Linked DNA regions of Mus musculus. The protein of the gene in region 1 purifies or fractionates together with the protein of each later gene. This does not show direct contact. Links are inferred from orthologs where the notes say so. Each region holds a gene or a part of one and is shown on either strand. Other genes may lie near its edges.

The links. Proteins that work in one complex are often made in the same cells at the same time.
Region 2: the proteins of Btbd1 (region 1) and Cops5 purify together in Homo sapiens (affinity purification with mass spectrometry; 3 studies listed by BioGRID and IntAct, counting the BioPlex papers as one, with this or other methods). This does not show direct contact. The link is inferred for Mus musculus from reciprocal best matches to the Homo sapiens genes BTBD1 and COPS5.

What each region holds. Positions count from the first base shown.
Region 1 is NC_000073.6:81,791,020-81,795,702, reverse strand, and holds the end of Btbd1 (BTB/POZ domain-containing protein 1), read left to right. Parts: intron 1-1,398; coding exon 1,399-1,545; intron 1,546-1,976; coding exon 1,977-2,135; 3' UTR 2,136-3,629; downstream 3,630-4,683.
Region 2 is NC_000067.6:10,034,777-10,040,164, reverse strand, and holds the start of Cops5 (COP9 signalosome complex subunit 5), read left to right. Parts: upstream 1-2,026; 5' UTR 2,027-2,154; coding exon of another isoform or gene 2,155-2,246; 5' UTR 2,247-2,352; coding exon 2,353-2,495; exon of another isoform or gene 2,496-2,503; intron 2,504-5,001; coding exon 5,002-5,236; intron 5,237-5,388. Other genes in the region: Cspp1 (centrosome and spindle pole associated protein 1), read right to left, coding at 1,821-2,026. UniProt on the Homo sapiens protein: Probable protease subunit of the COP9 signalosome complex (CSN), a complex involved in various cellular and developmental processes.

The DNA.
Region 1 (4,683 bases):
TGTGAAAGTTCATCTCTGTGTGCTTGCTTTGTTTGAGATACACTTTACCTTCCCTCTGAAGCGAGAGCCGTGCACTACCAAGAGACTGCTTTGCTTCTGCTCTATTAACACATAACTGACAGTATTAGAGACTTGTGTAACAAAAGGGCATTTTTGAAAGTTGATCCATATCTCCCCTGCCATTAGCAGGGGATTATTAAGGAAAGATAGTGACTCTTAGGACTCTTAGGACTGTAGCAGTTACATCACATACACACTCCATCTCAACTCCCCAAAATTCCATGGGTCAGCAGTACTGACTAGGAAGTAATGTAAATTGATGGTAACCAACACAAGAAGGTGTTGGAAATATCTGTATGCTGATAATGACACCTCATAATGGTATGACCTCTTTTTCTACTGAACTGATAGAAGATATTTGAAGGGTATGTTCACTGAGTGTGGTGGTGGACACCTCTATTCCCAGCCCTTGAGAGTTCCACTGCAGCCAGAACTGCATAGTGAGACCTTGTCTTTAAAGAAACAAACAAAAACTTGGGAAGGAGGCAGGTTATATTAATAAACGGTACGTGTCTTAGTTTTCACAGACTGTACAACTAATACACAAAGACCTGTATAACTAATGCCTAGTCAAAGAACAAGACAAAACAACATCTAGAACTCTTAGTGATCCTTCCACCCTCCTTACAGAGGAAACACTGTTCTGACCTTAACTTTAGGTAGCTTTTGCTCATTTCATTATTGTTTGCTAGAATGCTGGCGGAAAGGCAGGCTTGTAAGGAGTCACTCCATAAGCTATGGCTTGAGTTTGTTAAGCTGTCCCCCAGGAAGCTTCAGCCCTCTTCAGCAAATGTAGTTAACTCTCTGTCCGTCCATCCATCCGTCTCCTTTCATCGGAACTGGCACTGCCAGCATGTTTCCTGTTGCCTGGACCCTCCTGGATGGGTCCCTTAGTACTCTGTTTACCACTTGGCACGTAACGGTAGAACTAACTGAACTTATTCACAGAATGACAGTGCATTTAAGGACATTTTAATTTCAGTAAATACTGAAGCTGAAAGTGTTGAGATTATTGTAGGGAAAAGACATGGGCTAAACAAGGAGGGCAGATTCTTCCCTCTAACATCGCAAGGCCACATTCTAAAGTTCGTACACCAAACTCTGCTTTTCTTTATGGAATCCTTCTGTAGCCAAGCCCGTTCGTTGTTCGATGTCTTTCCTGTTCTTGTGATGTGTGAGTTACAGAGCCATTTTCTGGTCATCTTATGCTTTAAAAATCTTTGATAATTAAAGATAAGTAGAGAAACGTTTATGTTACAATTTCTAAAAGCTTCATATTCTTTCCCACAAGACTGTTACAATTTAACTTAAATGTAACTTCTCTTTTAAAAATCACAGATCATTGAATATGAGAAAAAACAAACCTTGGGACAGAATGATACTGGATTTAGTTGTGATGGGACTGCTAACACATTCAGGGTCATGTTCAAAGAACCTATAGAGATCCTGCCCAATGTCTGTTACACAGCGTGCGCAACACTCAAGGTAAGAGCCGCGCAGCCCCACAGGCTGTGCCTGCTATGCACTCAGGAGGCTCCTGGCTTCCATGTTTTAGAGTCACTAGCATGGGAGCCTCTTAGGGGAAGAGGAAGCCTGAGCTAAGATGCTCTGCTGCACTCAGTGCAGCCCAGGACTCGTCCATTCTGAGAGAAAAGGTCTTCCCAAGAACTTCCTTCCCCTTTGTTTAAAGAAAATAGAACTTCCACAGTTTGTTTTTCTTAAACCTTTTTCACAGTTGTTAATGGCTGAACTTCATATTGTTATTAAAATTGTTTTTAAGCAAACCCTCATATTTTGTTAGATGCCTGCATGAGATTTTATACTGAGTCTGTAATGAATAGGGCAGACCATTAGTCACCTCAGAACACAGGGATGCTTCTCAACTGACAGCCACTGACTTGTTTATTTTCATTTAGGGCCCAGATTCTCACTATGGCACAAAAGGACTGAAGAAAGTAGTGCATGAGACCCCTGCTGCAAGCAAGACTGTTTTCCTATTTTTCAGTTCCCCTGGCAATAACAATGGCACATCAATAGAAGATGGACAAATACCAGAAATAATATTTTATACATAATCTAGTGTTAACCATTCAGTCTAATCTCAAAAGCATAAACAACTGGCCACAAATAGTTTGAGTGTCTTGAGTATTTATAATTACAGATTAAGAAACATTTTAGTTTCTTAGAAGTAAAATAGTTAATTTAAATCTCTGCATGATTCGAAGCAAAGAGAACTGGATGTGTGTGTAAATTGCCGTCTTTTCTGCTTCGTCTTGTGTGATTTCGTAGATCCGCTGACTCGTGATCTTTCAGTAGTTTGGGAATTGAGAGATTCTTGTCATAATAGCAGATGTGGGTGTTTGATTTTTAAAACTTTTGTTTTAACTGTTTTGAAAGTTAGATGAGATGGGTGAGTATTCCTACAAAATTCTTTTTAACTCAAATAACTAATTTCAGAAAATTAAGAAAACTGACTTTATATTTGGGGTTTTCAAATATGTGGTCATTACCTTTTGGAATAATGCCTAGAAAACACTCAAGAAAAGTTTCAGTGCATTTACAGGGAAGGTATTCTGTAACAGTATAGAAGTGCATCACATAGCACTGTTTTACAGCTGGAAGTGGAGTTTGTATAAATTCACAATGTGATATAAACAGATCGAAGGGATTATCTGAGATGGATTCTTTATCACTCCCATCCCACTAAGCCAGTCATGGGTGCTGCAGTGATCCAGATGACTGAGATGTGACAGATGCCAACAGATGGCCACTGCAGCACTGCAATGCCCTTCACAGCAAGAAGGGGGTAGAATACCAAGATCCCTAACAGCTGCGCTGAACCATAAAGCTGTCCATGTCCAGCCAGTCACTCCTGCTGAAGAGGAAGAAGGCTTTGTGTCATCTACATAGTTCCACCCAAGAAGTAAAAATGCTACAGTAAGAGTGGATCAAAGGGATATTTGGCAGTGTGACATTTCTACATTTTTATATAAAGCAGATTTTTAAAATACAAGTAAGATAATATTTTCCCTTGAAAATGATTATCTTACAAAAAAACCCTTGTATAATTAAGCTTAAGGTCTATCAGTCTATCAGATAGTTGTGGGAAATTATTAAAAATAAGAATTCTTTTAAGTATCAACTTAAGAATTTTTCTAAATAGGATATAAAAGTTTTCATCAAAAGTAATATTTTGTATTTTCAAGATGGCAGGGAGGTGATGTGTTGGTGGCCAGGATCTCTTGAAGTTGTTGAAGAAAGGGAACTGTTTTCAGTCTGCTCTGGTACTATGATCTTATGGGTCTAAGCCTCAGTTAGCGGGAATGCCCATGGAATGTGTGATTCTGCTTAACTGAAGAGAAGTAAAGACTGTGTAGTAACCATTCCTTAACCAGTGTTGCATGCCAGAGGTAAGTTAGTGCTTTCTGACCATTGGGGCATTCGCATGCCTTGTGCTTTACTGAACAACTGTAACTGAATGTAGTCATGGAAGGAACAAGATACGGAACCACTCACTGACATTGGGACATCACCTGGAATTTTTAAAATAAATTTATCCTTTTTGTTTACCTATTTGTCACCTCTCTTTTTCTCTAAAACTTGAGATACTACTTTAGAACAAAAGTTCCAGCTAATTAAAGTTTAGCTTTTATGCACTTCTAATTTTAACTAATATTTAGAGAGTTGGGCAGGGGATAACTCAGCGGTATAGCAGTTGCCCAGTGTAGTGGTGTGAATGAAAATGCCCCTGTAGGCTCATGGGAGGGTAGCACTATTAGAAGTTGTGGCCTTTGCACATCATCATGCTTCCCACCATGATAATGGATTGAACCCCTGAACAGTAAGCAAACCCCAATTAAATGTTTCTTTTATAAGAGTTGCCTTGGTCATGGTGTCTCTTCACAGCAATAGACCACTGACTAAGACACCTAGCTGGAATTTCATTCCTAGTTTCAAAATGCCAGTCATTGCAGCCTGAGTAGTTACTGTGCACTGACTGGCCTTTGCTCTAAGTCTTTTGCAAAAATTCTTGCTTGCCACTGCATCATTGTGCATTGGTATTAAGGTACCCAAACAAAGAATTTAATAATTAGAAAGGTTACTACACGGTACTGGATACGATTTAAGTAATTTTTATGCCCCACACTATTGAGCAGGAAAAATGCTTTGTTAGAGTTGCCAAAACAGCCAGGCAGTTGTGGTGCACACCTTTAGTCCCAGCACTGGAGAGACAGAGATGGGTGGGTCTTTTGAGTTTGAGGCCAGCCCGGTCTACAGAACAAATTCCAGAAGAGCCAGGACTACACAGAGAGACCCAGTCTTAATAACAACAACAAAACAACATAGTATTACACAATTATATATCAAGACATAATTATATAATGACAATAACAAAACAACATGTTATATAGAATTATGCAATTATATATTTTCACTAACCTGTACCTACTATAGGATATCAATAATTTAAATAATTTAAAAAGTATTTTTTAAAAACACTCCTGATCTAGTATCTAGCCAACAATTTAAGATGTACTATTTGCACTTTCAAATGTATTTTAGGTGAACATGAAGTTTTAGGGACACACACTTTGAAAAGGAAGATGTTTACAGAACAGTAAT
Region 2 (5,388 bases), on another chromosome or scaffold:
ACGCGTTGTCAGGCAACCGGCGGGCCCAGAGGCCGCCCGGGAGTCTGCAGCGCGCGTGCAGGGCACCGCCCCCAGCCCGGCAGCCTCGAGACCAGCACCTGGGGCCAAGCCGGGCCACCGCCTCGCGACCCGCGCCTCAAGCCCTGCCCCCACAACACCCCGGAGCTTCCCGGCTCCGCCCGGCAGGCTCGAACCCCCGCCCGGCTACAGCGACCCGGGCCGGCCTCCCGCGCCAGGGCGCCGACTCTTCGCACAGCCGTCCACACCCGCTACCCACCGACTTACTCCCAGCGAGAAGCCACGCTCCCAGCGGGCTCCACAGTCCGTGGTTCCGGCGACTCCGGCGCGGACCTAAAAACCGGTCGCCCGCTCAGGACTCCGCCTCCCAGGCCCAGCCCCCCGCCCGCCCTCCACCAACGGCCAGGCGCGGCCCCGCCCCTCGGGCTGCTGGCGGAGGCCGCGCGGCCGAGGGCGCCCCCTGCAGCCCCGGAGGCCACCCGGTGCACCCGCTGCTGCGCCCAGGGATTCCTGAAATGTGACCACTCCCAGGCTAAATCCCAGCCATCCAAGCCCAGGACGGTCTCCAGTCACGAAGTGTGGATGTGAGAGAAGGAATGTCCGCACCAGCAGTCTGGTCAACTCTCTGTCCTGGGCTTTCATTACCATTTCAACATGTTATTCTGTATGTTTCGAGTGGCTGTGTATTGTGACCACTGGAACAAGCTTACACAAGCTTCTCAGAAAGAACTTAAGATACTAATGTACTCTAATGTCCCTAGTGTGCCCGAAGTTATACTTTAAGAAGATTCTATTTTTATTTTTGGTTTCGTTATTTTGTCTCCAATAGTCCAGGGAGAAAGCGGGGTTGGAACTCTTGATTCTCCATTCTCCACCTCCCAAGTACTGGAATTAGAAGAATGTTGCAATGTCCTTGCTCTGTTTTGTTTGCCCAGCTCCTTGACTTTTTGAAACAGGGTCTCCTGCAGCCCAGGCAAAAGCACCTGCATTAGAAGAGGATACAGACGGGCAGTAGTGGTGCACGCCTTGAATCCCAGCACTCAAGCAGGCAGCTCTCGAGTTTGAGGCCAGCCTGGACTACATAGTTCCAGAACTGCAAAAACCCCGGGGTCCAGGTGAAGCAGCTACAGAGCCTTCGAATTCCTGTGAAGGAGCAGTTACTGACGAAGAGTTAAGGAAAGGCATCTCCGAGCTGTGCTTTTTAAAATCTGTGTGCTCTAAAGCAGAAATGTCAAGAAGTGCATTTCAAGCAATGCCTAACAACTAATATATTACTAAGCCAAGGAAAAAAGTTCTAATAGAATGAAAAACTGGGTTGGGGGAGCTAAAAGAAGATGATGAAGCTGGAGAAGTCTTTAAGAACCGTGTTACGAAAAAAATTAAATATATTAGAATTAAATAAAACACAAATTTCATGCATGCCTTCAACTTACAGTCTAGTGGGCAATTGGGGATGAGAATGTGAGGGAAGAAAACCTAAAAATACGACTGAAACAAATTTCACATTAACTGCTGGAAGGCACAGGTTGCGGAGATTAAATCTGCACTGAGACAAACCTTTTTTAAAAAGTAGCGCCTAAGGCATTCACCGCTCCTAACACTTGTATAAAATGTTACCCTATAAAGTCCCTAAAAAAGTTAATCTTAGCAACCGGTAACTTTTGCTTGCCACCTCGCAACAGTAGCGAAAACACAAAAGCGGAACGCCAACCACAAACCCCGGAGGCTTAACACACCGCAAATTATCTTAAAAGAGTCACGCGATCTTCCCCCTCCAAAACCAATAATCCGGAGATACTTACACCTCTGTTTCTCTAGAGATATTTAGTATTCCAAACAATTTATTTCGTTTGAAGCACCTACACTCACATAAACATAATTCCCCAAACTCAAGTTTCCTCCTACACACAATATGGTGGCATCTGAGTCTGCGCAGTACGAGCCGAGCCGGCCGACTCCTTCCTGGCAGGCCAATAGTCCCGCCTTCCGGCGCGAAAGGCTGTACCATTCCCACACCGAGGCTTTGCGTCCCTCGCAGTTCACACGAACGGATTTCCGAGCCAGCATGTTCTCGTTTCACCGGCAAGACTGATCTTAGCCGAGCCGAGCCGAGCCAACCCTAAGGAAGTGTTTTCTATGTCGCTGCGCCGCCGCCGCGCCCCAGCGCGCGAATGGTCTGGACCAACGTCACCTCCGGTCTCAAGTGTCATGGCTGCCTTGAGAGTCTAGTGAGTGTGCACCCTGGTGGGGAAGGTCCAAAGCCCGCACGCTGAGGCCCAGTAGAAGAAAGTTGCATCTTGATTGTGGAGCGACAGCTTCTCCGGTGCCTCGGCCATGGCAGCTTCCGGGAGTGGTATGGCCCAGAAAACCTGGGAATTGGCCAACAACATGCAGGAAGCGCAGAGTATCGATGAAATCTACAAATATGACAAAAAACAACAACAAGAAATCCTGGCGGCGAAACCCTGGACTAAGGAGTGAGGAGGTCCCTGGCGAGACGCAGGGGAGGGCAGGGATGGCGGGACTGTGAGAGACCCGCGAGGGGTGGGAGATGAAGGGTGTGGTGAGCTTGGCTTTCTGTGGGGCGTCGACCGAATATTGGCCACAGTGGCCTTAGTCTGCCTTGTCAGTAGAGCCTTACCTGTCCTCTAGGGCCTGCTTCGATTCCCCTTTTAGAAAGTTTCTTGCCTTCAGGGCGTGTAAAGGGCTGACTTGGGGTGCGACTTTTGTCAACATGATTATTTTTGTAAATCTCACACACTCTGCCTTGAACCTGGTGGCTACATGCAGTTAGTTGCAGCCTTCAGTAGATTCCCAAACTGAAGAGCGTGGCTGTTTTTATAAATCGAATGAGCAGAGCATTGATTTAAAAAAAAAAAAAAAATCCATGAGCTCTTGGATTGATTGGTTTGGTTTTTTTTCAGCTCTTTAGACACATACCAAATCCTCTTAGCAGTTCCCTACAATACTACTACAATTCATGTAAACCAGGAATTATAAGAGAGAGCTTAGAAGCATTTTCCCCAGCCAAATCCATGTATCTTTGGGATTGACGACAAGTCAAATGATTCTTTAGAGCAAATTGTATTAAGGAGAGTGAAGAAAAAAATTACAAAAGGTTGCTGAGTAGACTGTCTTGCTGTCTCCAGGTGTTTTGTTCTGATGGCACAGCTGGCTTTAACCGTCAGTACTCTGTTTTCAGTGTTTATTGAGTTCTTACTGTGGGCCTGGCACTGGCCTGAAGATTTTCGTGTCTTTTAATAATCTTGACAATCCAGGATTCTTTCCCTTTCTGTAAATAGAAAAATAAGCAAATACATTCAGAAACACACCTCATGGTCATACTATAGCAATGAGCTTAGGTTCAATAGACTGAAAATCAGGTCTCAATAACTGTCATTTAGACTGTTGACTGGCATTAGGAAACTAAAGTATCTAAACTTATCTATAAGATAAAGGTTAAACGTAGCTATTAATGATGTCATGAAGATGAGATAAGGTAATTTATTAAGAAGTTCTGGATGAGCCATATGTAATGAGAGCATAGTAATGGTTGTTTTTATCTTTTTCCCAAGTAGATGGAAAAGCCAGTTTTTTAATTTATATCTTGATTTCCAAGATGGTCTCAGTAACTTTGAGCTTGTGGTTGAAATCTAACAAAAGCTATATTTGGTTGCATGCATCCAGTGGGCCATGGCAACGCTGAGTGCCCCACACAGATTACTTAGCTGTTTCTAAAGCAAGCTGCGTGATTTAGGTGGATGTAAACTCAAGACTTCTTCACCATCTATGGCTATCCTAACATGTAGGGTATGTCAGGGATTTTAAACTGTTGTTCAAGAGTTTAATCACATACAATGGTTAGTCAAAGAAGTAAAGATACTAGATCACTCTCAAGATGCTATCAGAAGGAAGCCACAAGCTAACACACTTTTTTTGAGAATATCTTAAAACAGGTTAATAAGGCTGATAACAGTACCTTAGGTTTTAGTGTCTGTGGGACTAAGCACTTACTGTGTACTTTTCATACTAATAGGTGACATACCTATTTATAGATATGTGACATAGACATTAAGTGGCCCTACTCTCTCAGGTAGGGAGTGTCAGTGTAAGATTTTAGACCTAAGCAGGGCAATTTCAGAGGCAAACATTGTAGAAATTAAATCCTCTGGCTCTGTAGGTAATAATACTTGCTATCAAGCATGCAGACCTGAGTTCAAATCCCCAGCATCTATTGTAAAAATCCATGTGTGGATATGTGTGTGTGTAACCTTTTAGCATTGTATTGAAGGATGGCAGAGAAAAGGAAGTCTGTAAGCTGGTCAGTCAGCCAAAACAGTGAGCTTTCAGTAAGAGGCTCTCTCTGTCTCAAGGGGATGAAGTAATAAAATAGAGGAAAATGAGCTGGGCATGGTGACACCCACATTTAATCTCAGCAGAGGTGGGTGATCAAGTTCCAAGGTCAGCCTGGACTACTGGACAGCCAGGTTATACAGAAAAACGCAGTCTTAAAACAAAACAAAACAAAAGGTAGAGAAAGACCCCTGACAGTCCCTGTCATCTCCACATGCCATCTGGTGGCACACTAATAAACATGTACCACAGATAATAAATAAATAAATTACTTAATTAATAACTCAGTAAATTAAGGTCAGAAAGCTAGGCCTAAGAAGGTAATCAAGTATAATAATTCCATGATGATTGAGAAAAAAGGCCTGTGGACTTGATCATTACTCCCTCACCTCAGCAGTATATTAAAGTTTATCCCAGACTCTTTATTTTACCCAAGGGGCTGAGCTGTGACTGTGACATGTTATCTCCAGGTACCTCATACTTGCTGCTCTTATTCTACTCCCACGCACGGTCCATACTCCCCTTCCATCACTATCAATCCCTTCAGAACTTACTTATTTTCACAGAGACTATCTTCTGAAATTGTACATTAAATAAGAACCTTAATCACAGTGTAATTTTGTTTTATAGTCACCACTACTTTAAATACTGCAAAATCTCAGCATTGGCTCTACTGAAAATGGTGATGCATGCCAGGTCAGGAGGCAACTTGGAAGTGATGGGTTTGATGCTCGGGAAAGTCGACGGCGAGACCATGATCATCATGGACAGTTTCGCTTTGCCTGTAGAGGGCACAGAAACTCGAGTAAATGCTCAAGCTGCTGCGTATGAGTATATGGCTGCATACATAGAAAATGCCAAACAGGTAAAAATATTGTTTCTTAAATCTAAAAATCTCTATGAGTCTCAGGATGACTTCTGGGTTTCTGAACTTAAAACTGTCCTTTTCGCATTAAATTCCATATTTTAAATTAAACAGTTTTTATGTGAAATTTTAAAAGTCTTGTGAGATTTGTA